3 linked regions of the Oryctolagus cuniculus genome follow. The protein of the gene in region 1 binds, or shares a complex with, the protein of each later gene. Links are inferred from orthologs where the notes say so. Each region holds a gene or a part of one and is shown in the gene's direction. Other genes may lie near its edges. The genes, in order: SNRPD3, SRRM2 and GEMIN2.

What was found.
Region 2: SNRPD3 (region 1) and SRRM2 share a complex: the UniProt entries of both Homo sapiens proteins name them as parts of the minor spliceosome. The link is inferred for Oryctolagus cuniculus from reciprocal best matches to the Homo sapiens genes SNRPD3 and SRRM2.
Region 3: SNRPD3 (region 1) and GEMIN2 share a complex: the UniProt entries of both Homo sapiens proteins name them as parts of the SMN-Sm complex. The link is inferred for Oryctolagus cuniculus from reciprocal best matches to the Homo sapiens genes SNRPD3 and GEMIN2.

What each region holds. Positions count from the first base shown.
Region 1 is NC_091452.1:31,112,545-31,116,289, reverse strand, and holds the start of SNRPD3 (small nuclear ribonucleoprotein Sm D3), read left to right. Parts: upstream 1-1,135; 5' UTR 1,136-1,249; intron 1,250-2,987; 5' UTR 2,988-3,005; coding exon 3,006-3,131; intron 3,132-3,745. Other genes in the region: protein GUCD1, read right to left, coding at 810-1,020. UniProt on the Homo sapiens protein: Plays a role in pre-mRNA splicing as a core component of the spliceosomal U1, U2, U4 and U5 small nuclear ribonucleoproteins (snRNPs), the building blocks of the spliceosome.
Region 2 is NC_091450.1:32,552,359-32,556,003, reverse strand, and holds part of SRRM2 (serine/arginine repetitive matrix protein 2), read left to right. Parts: coding exon 1-2,124; intron 2,125-2,367; coding exon of another isoform or gene 2,368-2,380; exon of another isoform or gene 2,381-2,868; coding exon 2,869-3,150; intron 3,151-3,495; coding exon 3,496-3,645. UniProt on the Homo sapiens protein: Required for pre-mRNA splicing as component of the spliceosome. As a component of the minor spliceosome, involved in the splicing of U12-type introns in pre-mRNAs.
Region 3 is NC_091443.1:36,514,742-36,518,386, reverse strand, and holds part of GEMIN2 (gem-associated protein 2), read left to right. Parts: intron 1-2,038; coding exon 2,039-2,107; intron 2,108-3,211; coding exon 3,212-3,322; intron 3,323-3,645. UniProt on the Homo sapiens protein: The SMN complex catalyzes the assembly of small nuclear ribonucleoproteins (snRNPs), the building blocks of the spliceosome, and thereby plays an important role in the splicing of cellular pre-mRNAs.

The sequences.
Region 1 (3,745 bases):
CTACAGCTCCACAGCCTGGGCAGAGACGGCCAGGGACGCGCGCGGATGGACCCTGCTCCGCGCTAGGGCGGGGTCCCCCTCATTCCCCGGGGCTGAGGGCTGGGCCCTCAGAGAGAGGCACTGACCCGGCTCGAGCGGCGGCCCCGCTGCCTCCGCCTCCGTCCTCATGACCCGCGCAGCACGGGGCGCCCATGGCCCCGGCCCGCTGCGGGCTGCAGCTTCGGCTTCAGCTGGCGCAGGAGCGCAGCCAATGCGTGTCGAACGCCGTAGCCGCCGCCGCCACCGCCACAGCGGGGAGAAGCGGAGGCGGCGGCCGGGCAGCCCCAAGCCCCGCCCCAGCCACTCCAGGTCTTGGATCCGGAGGCCCCGCCCCTCCCCTAATCCCCGCCCCTTCCCAGTCCCAGACTTCGATTCCTAGAGGCTTCCAGCCTCATGATTTAAGCCCGGCCTGGCCATTCACAGTCTCGGTTTCTGGTAGCTCCGCCCCCTTACCGAATCCTCGCGCAGACGCGCGGGCCCTTCCTTCGCTCGGTCCCCCGGAAGCTCCGCCCCTTCTGAGCCCCTCCCCGAGGGCTCGGCGCAGCGCAAACACTGGCTCCCCAGGGGCTCTTTCCCTCAGCAAGCCCCGCCTCTGCCAGGCCCCACCCCTTTGCCGGCTTCAGCTGTAAGCCGGCTCCGGCCCTGTGATTGCCTAGGGTCCAGGCAACCGTACTCTGATCTCTTTAGTGCTGAGCCGGCCCCTGCTCCACTTGGTACCTCAGTTTCTCTGTCCAGACACGACACCTCCCCTCTCTGAGAGTTCCCGTTACCTGGCAGTGCCGGGTTCCAAAGATTAAATTGTGAGGGGAGGTCCCAGCCCTCATTCCCACTTCCTGCTGCCCCGGATCCGAGGACCCAGGCTGTAGATCCCCTCCTTGTCGTCCAGCCAGTCTTTTGTGAGGGGTGCTTGGAAGCGCAAGCCCCCCTCTCCCGTTTCGGGCCCCCGCGTCGGGGCTTCCGGCGGCCCCCGGGCCCTGTCATCAGCCCTCTCTTCCGGCGCCGGAACTATCGTACCTGGGTCCGCGTTTCCCAGCCGGCGGAGTAAGGAGGAAGCGGAGACGAGCTCGCGCTCTGGGACGGTCCCCGCGCGCGGCATTCTGGGAGCGCGTGGTATTCTGGGAGTGCAAGGCCCGCCATTCGCCCCGCTCACGCCTTCTCTCTCGCAGTTGTTGTCGCAGCACCGAAGAGGAGGAAGAAGGGGCTCGAGCCGGTGAGTAGGGGCCGGGGACGGGAAAGGGGAGGCCTAGGCGCTCGTGAGGGATCGGGGGCTGGGGCAGGACGCGCTGCAAGGAACCGCGCAGGGCTCCGGGAGGGAAGGAAGCGGGAAGCCGGGACACCCAGACACCCGCGTCGCCTCGCCTGAGCCTGGGGAGTGAGTTCGTTACCTCCCCCTCGTTTCTGGCTGCTTAGCCTCGTCCCTGAACTCCATCGGCGTCATCCTTGGCCTCCAGCCCCCTTTTCCGGCGCTGATGCAGCCCCTCGTGCTTTCCACGCCATTGCAAAAGCGTTTTCCGAAGTTCCTCTGCTTCTGAACTGTGTGTTCGATTTGGCCTGTAAACGCTGATACCTTTCCATTGGGTCGTTCCTTCCTTGAGATCCCGCGCTGGTTCCGTGCTCTCTGAAACGTAACATTCCAGCTCTGGCGGCGGAGGGCTGGGGATCCTCACGGAGCGAGCCTGGCTGCCCTGTCGTGTTCTCCCTTATTTCGTGCCAGCCTTGCGTCCTTACCTGGCTCAATAAAAACTCCACTGCTTGTCTCTCAACTACGTCGGCAGATCCTTGTGTTTTTCCTCCAAGATAAGCAGTTTCCTACACGTTGTCCCTTTGTGACCGCTTTGCTGTTTTCTCTTTAGCTTTAACAGTAAAGCGAATGGAAAGTCAGAGGCTGAAATAAAAACACAGCCTCCTCTCCTGGATATGTCTGGGTCCTCTGGTTGGTTGGTTTGTTTGTAAGATTCATTTATCTGAAAGGCAGAGTTACACAGTCGGGGTCGGGGGCAGGCAGAGAGAGAGATCTTCCATCCCCTGGTTCACTCCCTCAAATGACTGCAACGGCTGGAGCTGGGGGCCAGGCCAGAGTCAGGATCTTCTCCCCGGTCTCCCACAGGTTCAGGGGCCCAAGCATTTGGCCCATCCTCTCCTGCTTTCCCAGGCTATCAGCAGAGATCTGGAGTGGCAGTAGACAGCCGGGACTTGAACCAGTGCCCCTGTGGGATGCCGGTGTACCCGCTGCACCCCATCGTGGTTTTCAGGATGCAGTCACCCACAGCTGTGGATAGGCAGATGTGTTGCTCAGCATGGACGTTCCGAGCGCCTCTCTCCCAACACACAGACCACATTGGTCACTGGTTATCTTGGCCAAGGAAAAGGGACATGAGGGGCCAGTGTTGTGGGGCAGCTGGTTAAGCTGCCACCTGTGACGCTGGCACCCACGTGAGAGTGCCAGGCTGATTCTCAGCTGCTCCATTTCCTATCCAACTCCCTGCCAGTGCTCCTGGGAGGCAGCAGATAATGGCCTGAGGTTTGAGCCCCTTGCCACCCACATAGGGAGACCCAGATGCAGTTCCAGGCTTTGCAGCCATTTGGGGAGTGGCCCAGCGGATGGAAGATCTCTCTCTCTCTCTCTCTGTATCTGTATCTGTGTCCCTTACTCTGTCTCTAGGTAAAGGGACATGGGAGCAGGTGAGGAGTAGGGAGGTAGGTGGGAGATTCTTTTCCTTTCCGTGAGCTTTCCTTCTGTCCAGCACGCTGTCTCTCCCCTCTTCATATTGTGTGTATTTGCCAGGAAGGCTCCTCCAAGCCAGGAGCTGAGCTGCTCTTGTGTAGAAAATGCAGCTTTGGCACCGGTGTTAGGTTTTATGGGGTCCAGGCCTTGGGGAGACATGGTGCGCACCACACGCGGCCTCTGGCTCTGAAGGCTGGGCTCACTGCTGTGTCTCCCACCACAGCACTCTCCTCCTGCCGAGATGTCCATCGGTGTGCCGATCAAAGTCCTGCACGAGGCCGAGGGCCACATCGTGACCTGCGAGACCAACACCGGCGAGGTGTATCGGGGCAAGCTCATCGAGGCAGAAGACAACATGAACTGCCAGGTACGGGAGGCTGGCGGCGTCTCCATTGTGCCCGACGTGTGGCAGGCGCTGCCGCGGGCTCCGGGACTGTGGGCCTGAGCAAGAGACAGTACTGGGGCAAAGAACCGTATGGAGATTTGGAATAGTTAACTTTGGCCTTTGCCTTCTCCATCCCATAATTGTCCCCTCCCAACTCCCCATTTTAAAGATTTATTATTTATTTGAAAGGCAGAGAAAGAGAGGGAGAGATCTTCCATCTACTGGTTCACTCCCCCAAATGGCCACAGTGGTTGGATCTGGGCTGATCTGAAACTGGGAGCCGGGAGCTTCTCCCAGGACTCCCACGTACAGGGACCCAAGCACTTGGGCCATCTTCTACTGCTTTCCCAGGTGCATTAGCAGGCTCAGAAGTGAAGTAGCTGGGACTTGAACCGGTGCCCGTATGGGATTCCAGTGTTGCAGGCAGTGGCTTCCCCTGCTACACCACAGTGCCAGCCTCTCCCATGTTTTGGGGCCTGTTTGAGAGAAATGGTGTTACCACCTTCAGCAGAATTCTTCAGGTTCAGGGCCATTACCCTCCCACCCCCACCACCCCACACAGTGAGCAGAAACCTGTGTGCTCTTTTTCTTAGAAG
Region 2 (3,645 bases), on another chromosome or scaffold:
AGCCTCTCCAGCGACTCACCGGCGATCCAGGTCCAGAACACCCCTGATCAGCCGGCGGAGGTCCAGATCTCGGACCTCACCAGTTAGTCGGAGACGGTCGAGGTCCAGGACATCCGTGACTCGGCGAAGATCTCGGTCAAGAGCATCTCCAGTGAGTCGAAGGCGGTCCCGGTCCAGAACACCACCAGTGACCCGCCGCCGTTCAAGGTCCAGGACACCGACAACACGCCGGCGCTCCCGGTCCAGAACTCCACCAGTGACTCGCCGGAGATCCAGATCAAGGACTCCCCCGGTAACCCGGAGGCGGTCTCGGAGCAGAACCTCGCCCATTACTCGCAGAAGATCAAGATCCAGAACCTCCCCCGTCACTCGCAGGAGGTCTCGGTCTCGCACATCTCCAGTCACTCGGAGGAGGTCTCGCTCCCGAACCTCCCCCGTGACACGCCGCCGCTCGAGGTCTCGGACACCTCCAGCTATCCGGCGCCGTTCTAGGTCTCGCACACCGCTGCTGCCTCGCAAGCGGTCCCGCAGTCGCTCACCACTTGCTATCCGCCGCCGTTCTAGGTCCCGTACTCCACGAACAACTCGAGGCAAGCGTTCCTTAACACGGTCTCCTCCAGCCATTCGCAGGCGCTCGGCGTCTGGAAGTAGTTCAGATCGTTCACGTTCTGCTACTCCTCCGGCAACGAGAAATCATTCTGGTTCTCGGACACCTCCAGTAGCACTCAACAGCTCCAGAATGAGCTGCTTCAGTCGCCCTAGCATGTCACCAACTCCTCTCGACCGCTGTCGGTCACCTGGAATGCTTGAACCCCTCGGCAGCTCTAGAACACCCATGTCTGTCCTGCAGCAGGCGGGTGGCTCCATGATGGACGGTCCCGGCCCGCGGATACCTGATCATCCCAGAGCATCTGTGCCAGAAAATCATGCCCAGTCTAGGATTGCACTTGCCCTGACAGCCATCAGTCTTGGCACTGCCCGACCACCTCCGTCCATGTCTGCTGCTGGCCTTGCTGCAAGAATGTCCCAGGTTCCAGCTCCAGTGCCTCTCATGAGTCTCAGAACGGCCCCAGCTGCCAACCTTGCGAGCAGGATTCCTGCAGCCTCTGCAGCAGCCATGAACCTGGCCAGTGCCAGGACACCTGCCATTCCAACAGCAGTGAACCTGGCTGACTCACGAACACCAGCTGCCGCAGCAGCTATGAACTTGGCCAGTCCCAGAACGGCGGTGGCACCATCAGCTGTGAACCTTGCTGATCCTCGCACCCCTGCAGCCTCAGCGGTGAACCTAGCAGGAGCCAGAACCCCCGCAGCCTTGGCAGCTTTGAGCCTCACAGGCTCGGGCACGCCCCCAGCTGCTGCAAATTACCCCTCCAGCTCCAGAACACCCCAGGCTCCAGCCCCTGCAAATCTGGTGGGTCCCCGGTCTGCACATAGTGCGGCTCCTGTGAATATTGCCAGCTCCAGGACCCCTGCAGCCTTGGCTCCTGGAGGTCTTACCAGTGCTAGGATGGCTCCAGCATTGTCCGGTGCAAACCTCACCAGTCCCAGGGTGCCTCTTTCTGCTTATGAGCGAGTCAGTGGGCGAACCTCACCACAGCTCCTCGACCGAGCTAGGTCCAGAACACCGCCATCTGTCCCTAGCCAATCTAGAATGACCTCTGAGCGGGCCCCGTCCCCTGTCTCGAGAATGGTCCAGACCTCCTCACAGTCTCTTCTCCCTCCAGCGCAGGATAGGCCTAGGTCCCCTGTGCCGTCTGCTTTTTCAGACCAGTCTCGTTCTTTGATGGCCCAGACCACCTCTGTAGCAGGCCCTCAGCCCCTTTCCTCTGGGGCAGTGGCAAAGACCATGTCCTCCGCTGGTGACCACAATGGCATGCTCTCTGGCCCTGCCCCAGGGGTGTCGCACCCCGAGGGTGGGGAATCACCTCCTGGGTCCCAGCAGTCTGCATTGGCCGCCCTGCAGCCAGCAAAGGAGCGGCGGAGCTCCTCCTCCTCCTCCTCCTCCTCCAGCTCCTCCTCTTCCTCCTCCTCGTCATCGTCGTCATCATCCTCTTCTGGCTCCAGTTCTAGCGACTCGGAGGGCTCTAGCCTTCCCCCTCAACCTGAGGTGGCACTAAAGAGGTGAGGGGACTTGACTAAGAAATTTTCTAGGGGAAGGTGTTGGGGTTGGGTGGGGGAGTGGGGAGGGAGATAACCGTGTCACAGAGGTTCTTGGCTCTTTGAGGAGGTATGGGGGACCTTGACTTTGAAGCTTGGGGTAGAAGAAAATGTTTGGGTGGGGGCTGAGGGGGGAGGAATGGGACAGATGAAAGTCTCCGAAGGTTGATTCTCTAGAGGATAATGATAAGTTTTCCGTCTCTACAGAGGACAGAACTAGAGGAAATGGACTTAATTTTACAGCAGGAGGGATGGCAGTTAGACCTCAAGAGGAACTCCCTGGGCTGGAAGGATCTTCAGAGGTCATCCCATCCCTCTCCCTGCCTCCAGGCAGGACGGCCCCTCCCAAGCCACCCTGCACTCACAGGGGCCTCCCCAAGCTGCGGCTCTCCCAGGAAGGAGACCACCTAGCTTCAGCTGCCGCACGCGAACCCAGGGCCTTATTCCTGCATCAGGGACATTCTTGAGGTTTAGCCTTGACTCCCTAGTGCTGCGGGCCCCAGCCTGTTGCTTGTGTTAGCAGAGGTTGGGCTAGCTCTGGCCACTGCTCTCCAGAGAACGTGCTCACTGGCTCGTGTCCTCAAGGCTGGGAGAGCTCCCAGGGCCTTCTTCAGGCACCCCTCCCCCACTGCCATTCCTCCAGACCAAGGAGGGTAGGGTGGGGGCTGGGGCAGCTTGTCTCCTTGTGACACTCCTCTTCTCCTGCAGGGTCCCCAGCCCCACCCCGGCCCCAAAGGAGGCTGTTCGAGAGGGACGTCCCCAAGAGCCAACCCCAGCCAAACGGAAGAGGCGTTCTAGCAGTTCCAGTTCTAGCTCCTCCTCGTCATCTTCCTCCTCCTCCTCCTCTTCCTCCTCCTCCTCCTCCTCCTCTTCCTCCTCTTCCTCCTCATCTTCTTCCTCCTCTTCCTCCTCCTCCTCCCCTGCTAAGCCTGGCCCTCAGGCCTTGCCCAAACCTGCAAGCCCCAAGAAGCCACCCCCTGGCGAGCGGAGGTGAGTACTGCCTTGCCTGAAATAGAAGGGGTGGGGGGTGACTTATCCAGAGAAGGGACCCTGGGGTGAGGTCCCTGCTGGGTGTCTCATGTGGATGTTGGTGTTTGGTCATATCTGAGGAGTTGGGGCACTCTTCCTGCCCCACCTGCTCTGTGTAACCCCTGGTCTGGCAAAGGCTGCAGGATCAGAGTACATCCTCAGGCCAGAGCCGGGGAGTCCTAAGTCTCTTCCTTTCCTTCCCCCACCATGCAGCCTGCTCCCAGGGATTCTAGCTTTAAGTCTCCCCATTGTTACTGCCAGGGCTCTGGTCTGGCCACCGTCGTCATCTCCCGACTCTGTCCACAGCCTCCTCCCTGTCTCCCTGCCTCCACGCCATTCTCTTCCACACGTAGCCAGAGGGATCTTTCTAAAACGCACATCTGGTTACTTCCCTCCACTCCACAAATCCTTCCGGGACGCCCTGTGGCCTGCAGGACAAAGCCCCGCCTCTGCAGG
Region 3 (3,645 bases), on another chromosome or scaffold:
GCCACAGGATGTTTTTTCAAGAGTTTGATAAATTCTACCTGTATAGCTGTAAAACAGGTCTTTCTAGATTTGTTTCTTCAGATTTGTACTTTGTTTTGAATTGAGAAATGGACTAAAGGTAAAGACTCTTTTTTTGAAGAGTTTGTCAAGTTTTTCAAATAGTTTTAAATTATATTAGTAGTTACAAACTAAATCCTAGTATTTTAATCAAGGCATTCATTGATATTTGAAAGTATAGGAATATTTGTCTTAGAAGCCTATTCCCACCCCAAATCCCCTTAAGCTGGATGGTAAAAATAGCATTTTAAGTGTTAAAGCATTCATATAAATAGGAGTAAGTGTCTGGATTACATTTCTGTAATAATAGAATTAAAAAGGAGTCAATGCTCCAACATGGGCATCAGTTCATAAAGCAGACTGATAGAATGACAATTGCTTTAAGTAGCACTCTGACCTCAGAATCAGCCCTTAAAGCATTCTGGTCTACCTGAAAAGCCCATGGAGATCATTTCAGGCATGGAAAGCCAAGACACTATGGCAAAAAATGTCCTACATGAAGGACTTCTGTGGGTGAAACTCCAGTAGAAGTGGTGGTCATCAAAGAAGGATGTACTTTTTTCTGCAGGGAGGAGAGAACTTCCACTTTGCTTATGGCCTTGTCTAAATTTTAACAAATTCTGACTTAATTAACTTTAAAGAAGCACCAAGAACGATACATCTTTTGTGAGCAATTAGACATACCTATAACTTATAAGACCTTGATTTATACAGTAAAAGAAAATAAGTCCATACAGTTCTGACGGAGTTTGTGAATTCAGAAGGCTTACATACCTTAGACAGCACTTGTCAAGAGCCTCAGGTGGTCACTGACATCATACATAAGAGTGTTAATTGTTAAATTAACAACAGGAGTCATTGTGCACTAACTTCCCATGCAAGACCTCTGTCCTCCAAAGAGTTGTGTTATCATAGTTAACAGTGAAACTTGTTCTCAAAGATTTATTTTGTTTTAGTGTATTAAGTGAATGATATTTTTAAGTCTCATAAGTTTTACATCTGCCTAAGTGTCCAACTCCTTTGCTTGTTTTCTTAGGTGCTTCCTTAACTAATGATAAAATTTGTTCTCAAGGACTTATTTTCTTTTATTAAGTGGAGGTCTTATGTCTCATAAGTTATAGTTATGTCTAATTGCTCCCAAAAGATGTATCATTCTTGAATGCTTCTTTAAACTTAATTTTCTCAAAAAAAAAAAAAAAGGTAAAATTAACTTCGAGATATAATGACCTTGAACAGCCCTTGTCTCAAGTGTTGAGAAACAGTTTTGTGTGTGTGTGTGCAAATTGTTGAACTCTTTACTTAGTATAGAGTTGATCTTCTGTGTATAAAGTTGATTGAAAATGCATCTTAGGGCCGGTGCTGTAGCTCAGTAGGCTAATCCTCCGCCTTGTGGCACTGGCACACCGGGTTCTAGTCCCGGTCGGGGCGCCGGATTCTGTCCCGGTTGCCCCTCTTCCAGGCCAGCTCTCTGTTGTGGCCCGGGAGTGCAGTGGAGGATGGCCCAAGTGCTTGGGCCCTGCACCCCATGGGAGACCAGGAGAAGCACCTGGCTCCTGGCTTCGGATCAGCACGGTGCGCCAGCTGCAGCGCGCTGGCCGTGGCGGCCATTGGAGGGTATGCATCTTAGTGGAGAATGGGACTGGGAATGGGAGAGGGAAGAAGAAGAGGGGTGGGAGTGTGGGTAGGAGGGAGGGCAGGTATGATGGGAAGAATTACTGTATTCCTAAATTTGTACTTAAGAAATTCTGAAGTTTGTATTCCTTAAATAAAAGGTTTCTTTGGTTTTTTTGGAAAAAAGAAAGCCTATTCCCAGAGGTGACTCTTATTAATGAGTCAGTTTTCTTTGGAAATCTAAAGAATGAGACAATCTTAAATGTTGCTTTCTAACTAAATTTAGTGAAACTCCTATTGAATTTGTCAGTATTTATTACTAATATTATAACTGTTCTGTGCCACTATCCCCCCCCCCCCTTCTTTTTAGGCAACAGTAACTAGTGTCTTGGAATATCTGAGTAATTGGTTTGGAGAAAGAGACTTTACTCCAGAATTGGTAGTGTTATCTTTTTATTTTCATAATTCAGTTTTATTTTCATAGGATACATGAGGTGTGACTGTATGGTATTTGTGTGTGTGTGTGTGTATACTCAAATGTGTTACTAGCCTTGTGCCACACCATGATGTTTTTGGGCAAGGAGGGCTTCATCTACAGTAGTGGTCCTCTAAGATTATATAGCCTGGTCTTAGTTTGTGTAAGTACTTGCTATGTGTATGCATAATGACATGATAGCCTGATAATGTATTTCTCAGAATGTGGCCCTGTCCTTAAGTGATACATGACAGTATACGTGTAATCTGAACTATGCTTGTTTGTGGTGCAATAAGGAACCTACACCAGGGTGTAAATCAACATACTGCTTCCTTCGTTGACAAAGTCTTCCTTTGGCAGGGAGGGGGAAGAGGACAAATGTCAACCAAAGAGTTAATTTATATCCTGGTACAAACTACTTATCTCAGTGCTGAGCAGTAACAGTGTGCTCACAGGCTGGCAACAAGTCTGCAAACCCCACTTCCAGTGGCACTGGTTAAAGTTTAGAATGCATTTTCTAAAATGACCTTGAAATCAGTCCACAAAAGGATCAGAAGTAACAACAACAGCAAGTACTACATGCTAGACATTATTCTAAGAACCTTACATATAATAATTCATTGGGCCCTCAACAATTTATTAACTGTTATTATCCACAATACTCAATTAACATAATACAGCTTGTAATTGGCAGAATTCAGACTCAAGTCAGGGCAGTCTGGCTCTATTTCTACACTGTTAGAACTATGCTACACTGTGTTTACTTTATTGCTTTATATTCACAACTCATTTTTTTTTGGCCTTAAAAGTTGGGTTAATTTGATGAATATTTTTAAATGAATTACCTGTTTGTTCTTTCTAATTTTAATAAATTTTATCATCTTTGAAAGATTTAGTTTTTAGAAACCAGCAGTGTTTCACAGCTAAAGATATTTGTGAAAGAGTGTATCTGAGGGTCTAAATGTAACACAGTAATGAGTTGTATGAATTTATTCATGGAAGATAACCAGGCACAGCTTAGAATATTTAAACTTGTGATTTAATAGTTTTTTTTTTAATCCTATTTAGGGAAGATGGCTTTATGCTTTATTGGCTTGTCTTGAAAAACCTTTATTACCTGAGGCTCACTCATTGATTCGGCAGCTTGCAAGAAGGTGCTCTGAAGTGAGGCTCTTAGTGGTAAGTTTCACCTCACTTTTCCAAATTGAAAGCATCCAGCAGTTTTTATAGTGGTGAAAAATTCCAATAGAAGGGAGACCTTTGGCATATTTTGTTAGTTGCAATTAGAATTGGCCACATAACAAGAAAGTGGAAAATACTAGCAACTTAAATAAAATGGCATTGTTGTCCTCAGATAAAGGAAGTAGGCAGACAAGATGTAATATAGCAGTAACCCAGGCCTTTGGGTTCTGCCACATGTGGCTTCCTCAGGTTCATCTCAGGATTCCAGATGCCTGCTGGAGTTTTGGCCATTATTTTTTTTTAAAGATTTATTTATTTAT